Linked DNA regions of Caenorhabditis elegans. The protein of the gene in region 2 purifies or fractionates together with the protein of the main gene of each other region. This does not show direct contact. Each region holds a gene or a part of one and is shown on either strand. Other genes may lie near its edges.

Region 1 (4,372 bases), on a different chromosome or scaffold from region 2:
TACTTTTTAAAAACTATCTGGACACCATCTTACTCGCTTCTACGAGATTCTTTTAAAAACGAACATTTTCTCAATCTTCTGCTCCTGTTGTTTAGGAAATCTTTACACTGCACACAGAAAAAAATCCCTTAATCTTTTCAGTGTCCCAACCAAGAACTGACTACACCCTAAATAGTTTATTAAAGGCAGAGTACTCGGATGATGTGCTCCACGATTGATCAGACTTAAACGTCTCAGGACATACACCTTCGCTCGTCGTATACAAAGCCGAAGCCAATCAGAAGGTACCGCACAGCACATTTTCCATCGAGAACTCTGTCTGGACTTATAAGTTTTCGCTCGTTCTTTTTTGTTTTGACCTACCGCGTACTCGCGCGCAATCTCATTTTGATAACCCGTCGTCACCGCCCCATCAGGCCCCGCCCTATTCCAGCTAGAATAAGAGCCGAAGTTTTCTTCATTTTTGACCTTTTCACTTTATCCTTTTTGTTTTGTCTTTTTGTATCGCTCCCCTGTTACATGAATTGTTAGAATTTTGTTAGTATCGATATAAATATTCATTACTGCGCAGACAAAGAAAAAATGCAAAGCAGAGGAACTGGTGGAAGAACCTAACAGATGAAGCAGGTACAGTGAAAACTTAAAGTTTGCAATAAATGTGCAGCACGTTCATGCACAAATTTTATAATTCATTTTATTTTGGAGTCATGTAACAGTTAGATATATTTTTCAAGATTAATAAATTTAAACGCTCTTCTGATGTTTATAAAATAAAATGGTCTTTCAGGCTCACAACGCGAAAAGAAGAGCAAATGCTGAGCAAGATCGTTTGGAGCTTGCTGAAGCCGCAGCTATCGAGCCGCAGCTATCTTTACAATAAATTTGTTGTGCGTGCATGCGAAAATTTTATAATTTAAGGATGCCGAGCCAGCAAAGGAGAATGATTCTGATGAGGAAGAAGTTTCCGACGAGGAGAGCGCGATCACTGACGAGACTTCTGTATACTGGTGGAATCGTGACGATCCCTACTACTCGGATGATGATTCAGCACCTCTTCAAATTATTTATGTGCAATGAGGTGGCACACACAATCAAATTTTTTTTTGATAGTGTAGCTTGTAGCTCGAAGAAACGACATTCTAGTCTATGATACTTCTATATCACATATCACTCCTCCATCACTTCTCGCTTATTTTATTCCACTGCATCCCTTTTCATTTTGTCCCAGTTTTTATGATTAAACCCTCCCTGTGAATTTTTAACCTTGAAAACCTAAACTCGTTTAAAATTGCATATGATTAAGATTCTGATATGTTTTTTAGTGCATTTTCCTTGTAAAATAAATATATTTCCAGCAAATCGGTTATAAATGTTCATTTTTTTCCCACTGAAAATCTTGTCTACCTGCCTGCGAGGCGACATACGTGTCGTCTGAGATACGTTCTTCTATTATATTAAATAAATCCTCAAATATTTATAAGTTTATTGCAAAAAACGACTACTGTGGAAACCCCAAGTATACGGAGATCACGGTAAAAATTTGGAAGGCATAAAATGGGCACGAAGAAATTTCTGCCTTCTATTGAAACCTGAACGGTTTTATTTACAAGAGGTTTACAAATTTGAGAATCCACAAACACAATGTTTCAAAAACAAATTCAATTTATTTATATATAGGTACAGTAACCTAGAAACCAGTTTGATTCTCAAAATTTGATGGACTCTCGAGAACAGCAAACTACATATAATACTCTCGTTTTGGATCAATAGTGTAAAAGAAAAGAGAAAAGGAGAGGGGGGTGTCACCCCCCTTGCCCCCCCCCTGTCTCTTCCTACTCTTTCTCTAACATTCTTTTCCTCTTCTCTCTATCTACACCCCCCCCCCCATCTCTTCATTCATACCAACCCTTTCCCTCGTTTTTCTTACAAATATCGATTCAGATATATTTATATACTCGTCGATTTAATGTTAATTTTCTAATCAACTTCCAAATTTCAGTATTCGTCATGGAATCCGACGGACTTGAGGAGTTTGATTTCTCGCAGCCACTTCATTATGCGCTCTCCCAACTGAATGCAGATCTCTATGCAGGAATTGAGCAGGAACCCCATTTTGAGACTGTTCACTTTCCCAAACCAGCATCTTTATCTGCAATGGCAGAGGAGGATGATGACGAACGGCCACCGACTACAAATGAGATTATTGATGATCTCGTGGAAAAGTTTGATAATTATCCAAAAATCGTGACTACTATGATGCAGAGAGGTTTGCTCAAAAAACGGCAACAGTGCAGAAAGTGTGATCGAATGATGCATTTGAGAAGGAGAAAGAATTGCTATGAGGTTGGAGATTTTTATACTATATTTAAAATTGATCAGTCAGCTTTACCTACGTGTCTAAAAAGCAGACTTAACTTGTCTTGATTGTCACCTACGCCTAGAAGAAATGTAGAGTAGGCAGCGCAAAATGCCTTGTAGGCATGCATTTTTGAGCCTCTAGTGAAGATTTTAATTTCTAATTGTTGTTCTTTTTTTCAGTGGCGCTGCCGAACAAAGGATAAGAGAGGGGACTGCTCGTCTTGCTCAATAAAATTTGGAAGTTGGTTCGAGTATACCAAGTTATCCTTCAAAACTATTTTCAGTTTTTTGATCATGCACTGTAAAAAGTAAGTTAAAGCTGGTTTTTATTTTATATTTGTGCAAAAGTGAGAAATAAAACTCTGACCAATCAGAATAGTAGGACATGTGCCTTGTTGATTAGTTGGTGGTTTTTTTTCTCATTTCGCGAAAATTCAAAGTCAATAAAAACAATGTTGAATAAAGTTAGATTATAATTAAATTTTGAATAAAACTCAACTTTGAAAACATTGTAGTTGAAAGCTTGAATAATTTTTAACAATTTAATTGAAAAAATATTTAAAAAGTTTCAACACGTATCTTGGTATCAAAAAGTTCAATTAATTTTTCAGCTGTTCCACAAGTCACATGGCCAATGAGCTCAAATTATCAACGCATACAGTGAATGAAACTCGGAAAGTTGTCTATGATCTGACAGATAAAATCGCATCAAAGTATCCCAGAATTGGACAAAATCAGGGAATGGTGTACATAGAAGTGATTCGAATTGAGCCAAAAAAGGCAAACGACTTCATGTACACCATTTTGGCAGGTGAGTATGAGTTTTTAAAACATCTCAAAGATCCCCTACTCTTTCGTCACAGCCTTGGTTGAGTACGTTGCCTTTCATTTAAGAACTCTTTGTAGGCACGTTGGTAGGCATGTTGTTCTTGCTCGTATACATTAAAACTGTAACAATTGTTTCAGGTCAAGAAGCAAACTCCAACAACTGTTTCGCTGTTGTGATGTCTGATGAGATGCCAAGTACAATTGAAAAAGTTAAAATGGAAAAAGTCAATTCACATTCATCAGTTTCAATGATCAAGACTGTTAATGAAAATTTCACCGCTTATGCAAGGTTGGTAACATCTTTAAATTTCTATTCTTTAAATTTTCTTCTTTTTTTCAGTCAAAGCGCAACATTCTTCGACGAGTCAAAAGTCTATTCAAACCCAAGTGATATGTTCTTCACAAATCTTCGCAAAAATCATCCGGAAAGTGCACTCAATTCTGAGCAAGCATTCCAAAGTTGGTTCAATGATCAAGTGGTGAGAAAAACCGAAGGAAAGCGAATGCTCGAAAAATGTGTGGAGGAGCTCAGGACATACACGACATCATAATTTAATTTTATTACGGGGGGAATTTATTTTTGAAATGGTTATGTATAACCATGTACGATCTTACGTGTATTTATCTCACTGGAACGAAGCGAATAAATTACAATTTAATGCTAATAATTTACAAATTTAAGAACAAAACAATTAAAACAGTCCTAGGAAGTTGTTGTTGATGGCAAGAATTGCTGTAATTAAATTAAAAATTAGAATTATACTTTGATTCTTTTCTAATAGAAAAAGTGAGCTTTTAGGTAAAGTTTACCTGCAATAAAGAGCATTGAGACTGTAGCAAAGCTGGAACTCTTGTTCAAATCGGTTAAGCACCACTGGAAAAGTTAACATGATTAAATTCAAAAACAAAAAAAAAACAATACCTGATCGATTGGTTGATCTGGCTTGATAGTATTGGCAAAGTTTCTGAGAATATCTAAATCACAGTATGAACTATTTTGAGGACATCCTTGAATTCCCATAGTCACATCTTTGAATCCACTTCCGTCTTGCTCGTGATATACCATTTTGAAGTATGGTTTCTTGTCGACACTATCAATGTAAAGCTCTAAAAGGACTGCAGCAGAATACAATGGATATCCACCAGACGGTTTTACAGCGTATTCTTCAATTAGAAGTGCGGAGAA
Region 2 (5,059 bases):
ATTTTCATTTTTTCGAATAATTTTTTAATGTCTGTTTAGTTTTTTGAACATTTTGTTTTCGGAAAATCGAAAATTTTTCGACGACACCCTTGCTCCCAGTGACCAGGAATGGGTGGCGATTCTACAAAATTACCTATTGCACCATGTTGTTCCAACATTTTCATCAAAAATTTGTGTCGCACTATAGAGAATCACATGATTTATCTGGAATTTACAATAATTTCATCTAAAAACTGATAAAAAATGGCCTAAAAGTTGCCAATTGCCGGAAAACAAAACTCGTTAATTCGGTAATCCGCAATCGAGAATTTTCAGGCCCTTTTTGGTAACTTTTTAGCAGAAATTATTGTTTTTTTTAGATAATGTTGGAAAAACATGGCGCAATAAGTAATTTTTGTAGAATTGTCGCCTATCCTTGCCCCGTTGTCCCATATCCCCCGTATTTATTTATTTCTACAATTTTACGATCTCATCTCTCCATGTTCACTAATTGCCTAATCAAATTTCTATCTGAATGCATCGAGCCTATATAAATTCAGAAATAAATATTTATGCACCTGTTAAAACCGAAGTTAAAATGCAAATGAAACAAAAAATTGGGCTGAAAGTTAAATAACCGTAAAATAAATAAGTATTATAAAATCGGGGAGAAATAAACGAATAACCAGTACTAGAATTGATACAAATATACAGTTACATATTGTAGTGAGATAATACACATTTTAAGAGATCGAATAGTAATAATGAGAATGTTATATGACAAATTAAATGTCTCCTTGACTTGAAAGTGACCGCATTCTTTTCTGTCGTCGACGTGGAGAAAGAACTGGAATTTGTGATCTTTGTATCTTTTACTTTTAGTTATTCAAAACATATATATCAAAACAAACACTCGAATTAAGGCCAATTTATTCAATTAACTAAAGGTTGACTGAGAGAATGAGGAAGTTCCTTATGATTTATTTCATGTTTTTCAGTGCGCCTAAGACATAAAACATGTGATTATGGATGGTATAAATTCAGAGGAAATGTTCAATATTTTCAAATTATTCACTTGAAAACTTCAACTTGGCAATAATGAGAATTGTATCTTTCGTAAGTTTAAAAAAATTATTTTACCTAAAGGTGACCCCAAAAGGTTAATTTAAAATTTCGAAAAAAAAAACGTCCTAATTCTAGCTAAAACATCAATTTTGGACAATCTTTCCGTGTCGCAGCAGCCGGAATTTAGGTTTTTTTTTTAATTTAATTTTTTTTAAATGTCTCACAATATTTTTGTTAATTTAGAATTTTTAAATTTGAATACCTTTCGGATTTAATTATACCGAAAGGAACTAAAAATCGAAAAATGTGCAAATAGAACAATAATAAATGTATAAAAAAATTCCCGGCCATTGTAACACAAAAAAAGAAAATCCGGAATTTTAGCTAAAATTAACATATTTTCGAAATTTTGAACGCAATAAAAATTTTTGAGAAATTTTTCAAGTTTCGTTATGAAATCCGATTTTTTTCTGGTAATTTTGAGTTAAAAAACATTAGCCTTAATCTATAAAAAATAGTTCTTATTATTAAATCAATTTCAGATGTTGGTTGTTCTTATTTCAATGCTCTTTATCAATGAAATAATGGCACAAAGTACTGGAAAAGGATGTAAAGTTCCTTCACAATGCAAACCTCGTAAAGATTTTGATCATATTTGTTATCACGGAGTTTGCCATTATTACCCTAATTGAATCAATTGTAGCAATTTTTCTTCAAGAAAATAAAATAATCTTACTCGATGTTTTCTCAGTCGTCTTTTCCACTGTATTTGCTTTCAGCATAAGCCAATTCGCTTTAATTTCATTTTCTCCATATTCGTACTCGACATTTGCTCGTTTCGACTTTTCTACAAACATCACACTTTCTCGTGATTTTCTTTGATTTCTTTTCAAAGCCGCTTCCTGACGTTCGGCTCGTAATCGAGCATTCAAAACAATTCTTTCCATTGTTTGAGTAATTCCTTGAGTTCGAGCCTTATTGCGATGTTCATCGGTTCTTTCGTGCTGAAAAATCAAGTTTTAAATGTTCAATTTTCTATAAATTCACGATTTTTTGTTTTTTTTCTCTCTTGTGGAATTTCTGAATTTCTGAATATTTCGATTTTATAAAATCTCCTCAAAATTTCGAATTTCTCTATTCTTACATCTTTCCTGTCTCCAAGAATCGTTTTTTGGCAGAACTGACAATAATTATCTCGTTCATCAAATTTGAAAGTCTTCTTAGATGGCTCATATTTTCCCTTCAAAAATGAATCGTATTCTCGTTGCCTGAAATAATTGCATTTACATATAAATAGAAGAAAAACAATTTACTAAATACCTTCTTTCCACAAGTGACGATTCTGCTGCTTTAAAAATTGAAAATCCTGTGTCTCTTCCAGAATAAACAATTGAAAATGATTCTTTCGAGACATTCCGAATTTCTGGTCTTTTTCCAGGAACATCAATTCTTAGAAAACATCGTTCTTCCTTCGGCCGACTCGACGTCTGATCACTGCTGACACGTGGCATTCTTGGCACAAGTCTCGGAGTCGTTCGTTCAATTTTTGCACTATTCTCCCGGCCGAATGATGGTTTTCCACGAATTGTACTATTTGATGTAGTTGCTGATGTCGTTTTTCCTTGGCGATCCAGCCATGTATTCATTTGATTTAAAAATCTTTCCGGTGTTCTGACCTGAAAATATTGGAAAATTTAAAGAATTAGGGGGAAGTCGAAAAATTTCAAAATTTAGTTTTTTAGTTGCTAAAAATTGAACATTTTATTTTATGATTTTTTTTTTTTGAAAAAAAGCGTTATTTCCAATATGTCTCATCAAACAACTTGTCTTATTCCATTTTTTTGAGAAATTTGTTTGCCCACTTAATTTATATAATTTTTTGCTGTTAATTTCTGAAAGAACAGTAATTTTCAAATTTGTCAACCAAATTTTTAATTTTTTTGGGTTTTTTGGCGATTTTCTTACTTTAATATTTCTGTTCACTGCTTGTCGAAGAAGTGCGGGCATTATTTTGAGCATCTGAAATTTGATTAATTTATTTATTTTTAATTTTACCAGTAAAAGTGTACCTTTTCATTTTTAAAAAGAGGGTCATCTTTCTTTGCTTTTTCTAATTTTTGAGCCATCGGGTGATCGGAGATGACACATTGTGGGGAAGCATCATCAAATGAATCAATTATTGTAGCACCAGAAATATGTAATCCTTCTGCCACGTTTGTTCGTAGAATACGATTTTCAATTTCGAGCAGAAATGATCTTCCCTGAAATTCATAATTTTGTTTTTTTTACTTTAAATATTCTCTCACAATGAGCGGTTTTCCTTTTTCATCATTTTGTCCCTCATTCGGAATTCCTCTACTCGTTGATTGTCGTCTCCAATCACTCGCCATTCTATGAAAAACAAATTTAATTATAAGAGAGAAAAAGCTTTAAAGTCTCTCATTTTTAGAGGACAATTACATTTTTATAATTTTTTTGTTCATCAACATGAACAAAATCGGATAAAATTTTTTATGGTTTAAAACATTTAACAAAAAAAATGCAAAAACAAGAAAATATAATTTTCTACTGCTAAAAAAATAAAATGGACACAATTTTCAGTTTTTGCAACTTTTTTTCTTAAATAATGGAAGTTATATATTTTTTTTCTGACAAATTGGAAAAAGCGATACTCTTGATTAACAAATTCATATTTTTGTTCACAAGATATTTCAAAATATTTAAAGAATGAAACTTTAAGTTTTCTGAAAATTTTAGAACTGAAACAAAAAATAGATTTTCAGATTTTATTATTGGAGAAAGAACAAAACAATAAACATTTTATAACAGTTGATTGGAAAATTTAAAAAAAAACGAAAATTCATACTAAACTACAAGGCTTTGAATCCTAAGGCAAAAAAACAGGTAACGAGGAGAACAAACGCATCAGTGTAACAAAAGATGGAGTGTACTCGGATTATCAGAGATGTATATTTTTTAAATGATTAGTTTTTCGATGGACACTCGTGTCAGAACGACAGTCATAACATGTATGAAGGAAATGGGTTACAGATAGATGGAGAAGACAATGAAAACGGGAACATGTGATTGATTAAGTTGTGGGAAATGAGGGAAATGCTCCTGAGCAAATTTGAAAATTTCAGGCTGATTTTTGGAATTGAGCAAATGTTTTTGGTTATCAGAGAAAGAAACGGTGCAATTATCTCATATAATTATTTCAAAAAAGCAACGAAAATGCGGTCACGGTTTTCTAACAAAAAAAAAGTTATTTACTAAACTGATATCTACACCTAAAAAAACAAAACAAAAAGAAACAAAAACTGATCTATATGCTATACACTATTAAAAACTAAAATAATCAACGAACAAGTAATTCTAAATTTTTTGAAATTTGATAAACAACTTCCAAAAAATTGGGTGATATCTAATCAATTCTAATCGAGAGTCTCATTGTCAAGCTGAGCAGCAACATCTGTAGTCTTGCTCTCTTCAGTCGTCCCATTTTGCTGTTTTCCGAGAGAAGACAATCCAGGAACACCAATGATCAGTATTCCGTTGATGATGTTTAAGGTATCAAATAGAGAGGTAACTGTTGGAGGTTGAGCCTATAAAAATATTGCGATTTTTTTGCTATTGTGAAAATTTAATATTACCTGGAACAATTCAGTAATGTTTGTACTATTGTCAAGTTTCAACATTTTCTTTTGGAATGTAACAGCTTGTTGAGTAAGCGTGCGAAGATATTCACTCGATTCGTTGACTCTTGGGTGATTTGGTCCATAGAGTTCGGAATAAATAGCGAATGTTTCCTTTTCAGCAACTAGAGCAGCTCGGAAATCTCCACGAGCCGCATGTGTTCGGGCAATCAAATTGGAAATCAATCCAGTCTTCAGCTTTCTCGGTTCTCCAATAGTTTTTGTGATAGCATCAGCCGATTGCAAGTACTTCAAAGCTGTGTCGAACTCTTGAACAGTGAACAAAATGAGTCCAATGTTGGCATCAATTTGAGCCATTA
Region 3 (2,850 bases), 1.1 Mb from region 2:
CGATGGATGGCAGGATACTCGGCTGGTGAAACTTACAATTCTTATCAACAGTAAAGAGGTGGGAATTGGTTTTGTTTTAAAATTTTATCATTAAAATTTAATTTAAGGTCAGTGAATTCTCGCAAATCATACCAGCGGCAATGGCGAGAGATCGTGCAAAGATCTTAGTTCAACGTCTGAAACGAGAAATTCCACGACAGCAATTTGAAGTTACAATTAAAGCTTGCATTGGTTCCTCAACGAAAGCATTATCTCAAATTGTTATCCAGCCAATGAAACGAGACTTCTCGCAGCTATTGAAGGGAAACTTTGGTGGTGGAGGAATGGAACGACTCAATAAGAAACTCAGTCATCAGAAGAAAGGAAAAGAGCGGATGAAAATGGTTGGAAATGTGCAGATTCCTAAAGAAGCGTTCCTAAATGTTCTTAAGAGATAGTGTTTTTAAATATTTAGATACTAGAGTGTGTAGGTTAATTGTTTATTCTTGTTTTCATTTTTGTTTTTTTTGTTTTAATATAACAATTTTAAAGGTTTTTATTGTTCACTACAACAAAACTATAATTACAACAATTAAAAGATTCGCTCAGTCCCATCGTTTTCTTGCCGCCAATCCAGCTAAAGAATCTTCAACAGTTGTGTGGGTATGAAGAAGATTTCCAACATTAGCTTTCTTCCTGATAGTCGACTTGGAACCTTCCGTATTTTTTGGTTTTCCGGGCATTCGCTGTTCATCAAGCTTTTTGTATTCTTTTGCTCGCAGTTCTTCCAACGATTTCACATTCTTTTCAGTTTCCAGATACGTCAGTTCTGCATACTATAATTTAAATTATTAGTGATATTTAACTATCAATATAACTAACCGCTGTCGAATACGGGCGAGTGAGAAGATTCATCACAATTTGCTCTCTGGCAAGCCTCTCCCGTAGAATATTGACGCGATTTGCGGAAACTGGATAGTCTGGACGTCCGGTGCTGAAAATCAAGTTTTCGATTTGAAATTATTAAAATTCATTAAGAACATACGCTTTTTGTTGAGGAAGAATCGGTCCTCGGTATCCGACCTCCCAAATACGACGATTCCAATGACGTGTGTTGAGATTTCGATATAGAGCGCGGGATAATTGCATCTAAAACCATAAAATCAGTAAATTTAGACAAAATTAACAAGAAAAACACAGTAATCTAAAAGAAATCACCGAAAATACATATTCGGAGCAAAAATGAATAAAACAGAGATGTAGATTTACGATAAAGAGAGCGCGCTGTCGTTACTTCGGAGCGTCGTTGGAAATATTTTGGAATTTTGCCAAAGAAACTAAAAGTTGATGTAAAACATAGATCAAATAAAGTTCGAAATATGATTGAAACCTGATTCACATTTATTATTGTTCTGAGAAACCATGCGAAATAACAAATACCCTTTCTGGCCTAAAATATTCGAAATAAAAGTTAAATACGGCAACAAGTTGAGGAATTTGGGAAATAATTAGTGGAAAATGGCATTATTTACATAAATTTAAAAGACAAACGAATAAATGTTCTATAAGCTCCTAAGATGTGATCCAGCAGATCCGCCTCTCCTCGAAACATTTAATTCATTTATCAACATTTTGAGAGATGACAGCCAATACCAACTTTTTGCTATTTCATTTGGAATTTTCTTGCAAAATTGATCATAGTAGTTCATCGCTTCTTGATATTTCTCAAATTCAAGAGCTGAAAAATAATTTATTAATTTGAAAATAATCTTGTGTATTCTTACAATCAACTACATAATTCAGACTTTTTATAAGTTCATCTGATAATTTTTCTTCACTGATTAATTTTGCCAGAGAGCCAAATCTTAACTTAATGCCTTCAGCTTTTGTCTGAAAGTAGATGATTTGTATATATTCATTTAATTTATTTATTTAAAACCTGTTTATCCTTCATCTCTCGGAGCCTTTCAGCAGCTTTATATAGAAATGGCATAAGCTCTTCTCCACTCAGGTCAACCTCTCCTTGAGCTTTTTTCACCACTCTGAAACAAGAAAAAATAATTTCCAAAGTCTATTGAAAACCAAAAACTGTACCTTCCAGTTTGTTGATTTATCGATGAAGTTGGCTGTTCTACATAGTTTGGCAGTGTGAATTGAGAAATTCGCTCTTCCGAATTAGACAATGAAAATAGATTCTGAAATGTTTTCTTTTGCCTGTTTATAAAAGCTGTCACAGAAACATACTGGAGTTGTCGGAGTTCCTTCTTTATTGAATGATCCTGATGTCGCTGGTCTTGATCCAACAAATCGATTGTTGGGTTCGTTCATTGTGGAATCTGGAAATTAATAGTCTAGAGAGAAAATTGAGTAAAGTTAGAAAGATTTTAAGAAAGCTTGATTTTTCGGAACTATTATTTTATTCAAAATTTGTAGTCCCTACCAGGTACGTGCGGCTGTCGGCTGGCGCAGCCAGCCGACAGCCGAAAAATTGGACTTTTTTGGCTGGTAGCACCAGCCGACAGACGACCTTTGTGTTAGAGTTTTCGGCTGGCGGTTTTAAACAAATTAACTGATTTTTGATATTTTTGAACACTAGTTGCAAGTTTTATATATGGAAAAAGTAAGCCGATGTGGTTATTTTTGTTGGATAAAGTGATTAAATAGTTTGCTATAATTGTTTTTGTACTAAAAGTATGCTTAATCGCTCCGAAACACTTTAAGAAAACAACGTGCAAAAATACAGTTCAGCGACAAAACTCCAACCATAAAGCTCAGTCGGCTGGCAGCGCCAGCCGACTGCCGAGAAATAGAGCATTTTCGGCTGGCGGCGCCAGCCGACAGCCGAAACACTCATTCGGCTGTCGGCGCTAG

What was found. The genes of interacting proteins can lie anywhere in the genome.
Region 1: the proteins of F55H2.7 (region 2) and EGAP2.1 fractionate together in Caenorhabditis elegans (co-fractionation; one large-scale study listed by BioGRID). This does not show direct contact.
Region 3: the proteins of F55H2.7 (region 2) and ZK1236.5 fractionate together in Caenorhabditis elegans (co-fractionation; one large-scale study listed by BioGRID). This does not show direct contact.

Annotation. Positions count from the first base shown.
Region 1 is NC_003280.10:5,229,425-5,233,796, forward strand, and holds EGAP2.1 (DDE_Tnp_ISL3 domain-containing protein), read left to right. Parts: upstream 1-1,986; 5' UTR 1,987-2,007; coding exon 2,008-2,343; intron 2,344-2,538; coding exon 2,539-2,666; intron 2,667-2,969; coding exon 2,970-3,169; intron 3,170-3,324; coding exon 3,325-3,475; intron 3,476-3,526; coding exon 3,527-3,737; 3' UTR 3,738-3,851; downstream 3,852-4,372. Other genes in the region: EGAP2.2 (Ribosome biogenesis GTPase RsgA), read left to right, coding at 619-627, 788-880; pho-1 (Intestinal acid phosphatase), read right to left, coding at 3,879-3,919, 3,997-4,060, 4,109-4,372.
Region 2 is NC_003281.10:9,512,814-9,517,872, forward strand, and holds F55H2.7 (uncharacterized protein), read right to left. Parts: upstream 3,436-5,059; 5' UTR 3,435-3,435; coding exon 3,351-3,434; intron 3,306-3,350; coding exon 3,114-3,305; intron 3,064-3,113; coding exon 3,010-3,063; intron 2,721-3,009; coding exon 2,365-2,720; intron 2,313-2,364; coding exon 2,189-2,312; intron 2,049-2,188; coding exon 1,781-2,048; intron 1,776-1,780; exon of another isoform or gene 1,737-1,775; coding exon of another isoform or gene 1,587-1,736; intron 1,096-1,586; coding exon of another isoform or gene 1,078-1,095; exon of another isoform or gene 1,056-1,077; intron 827-1,055; coding exon 765-826; 3' UTR 531-764; downstream 1-530. Other genes in the region: F55H2.8 (FIP (Fungus-Induced Protein) Related), read left to right, coding at 1,078-1,095, 1,587-1,736; clu-1 (Clustered mitochondria protein homolog), read right to left, coding at 4,479-4,649, 4,698-5,059.
Region 3 is NC_003281.10:8,431,087-8,433,936, forward strand, and holds ZK1236.5 (uncharacterized protein), read right to left. Parts: upstream 1,129-2,850; coding exon 1,025-1,128; intron 974-1,024; coding exon 862-973; intron 816-861; coding exon 585-815; 3' UTR 522-584; downstream 1-521. Other genes in the region: ZK1236.1 (Translation factor GUF1 homolog, mitochondrial), read left to right, coding at 1-58, 108-437; ZK1236.9 (TPR_REGION domain-containing protein), read right to left, coding at 1,542-1,717, 1,764-1,869, 1,919-2,021, 2,074-2,174, 2,224-2,315.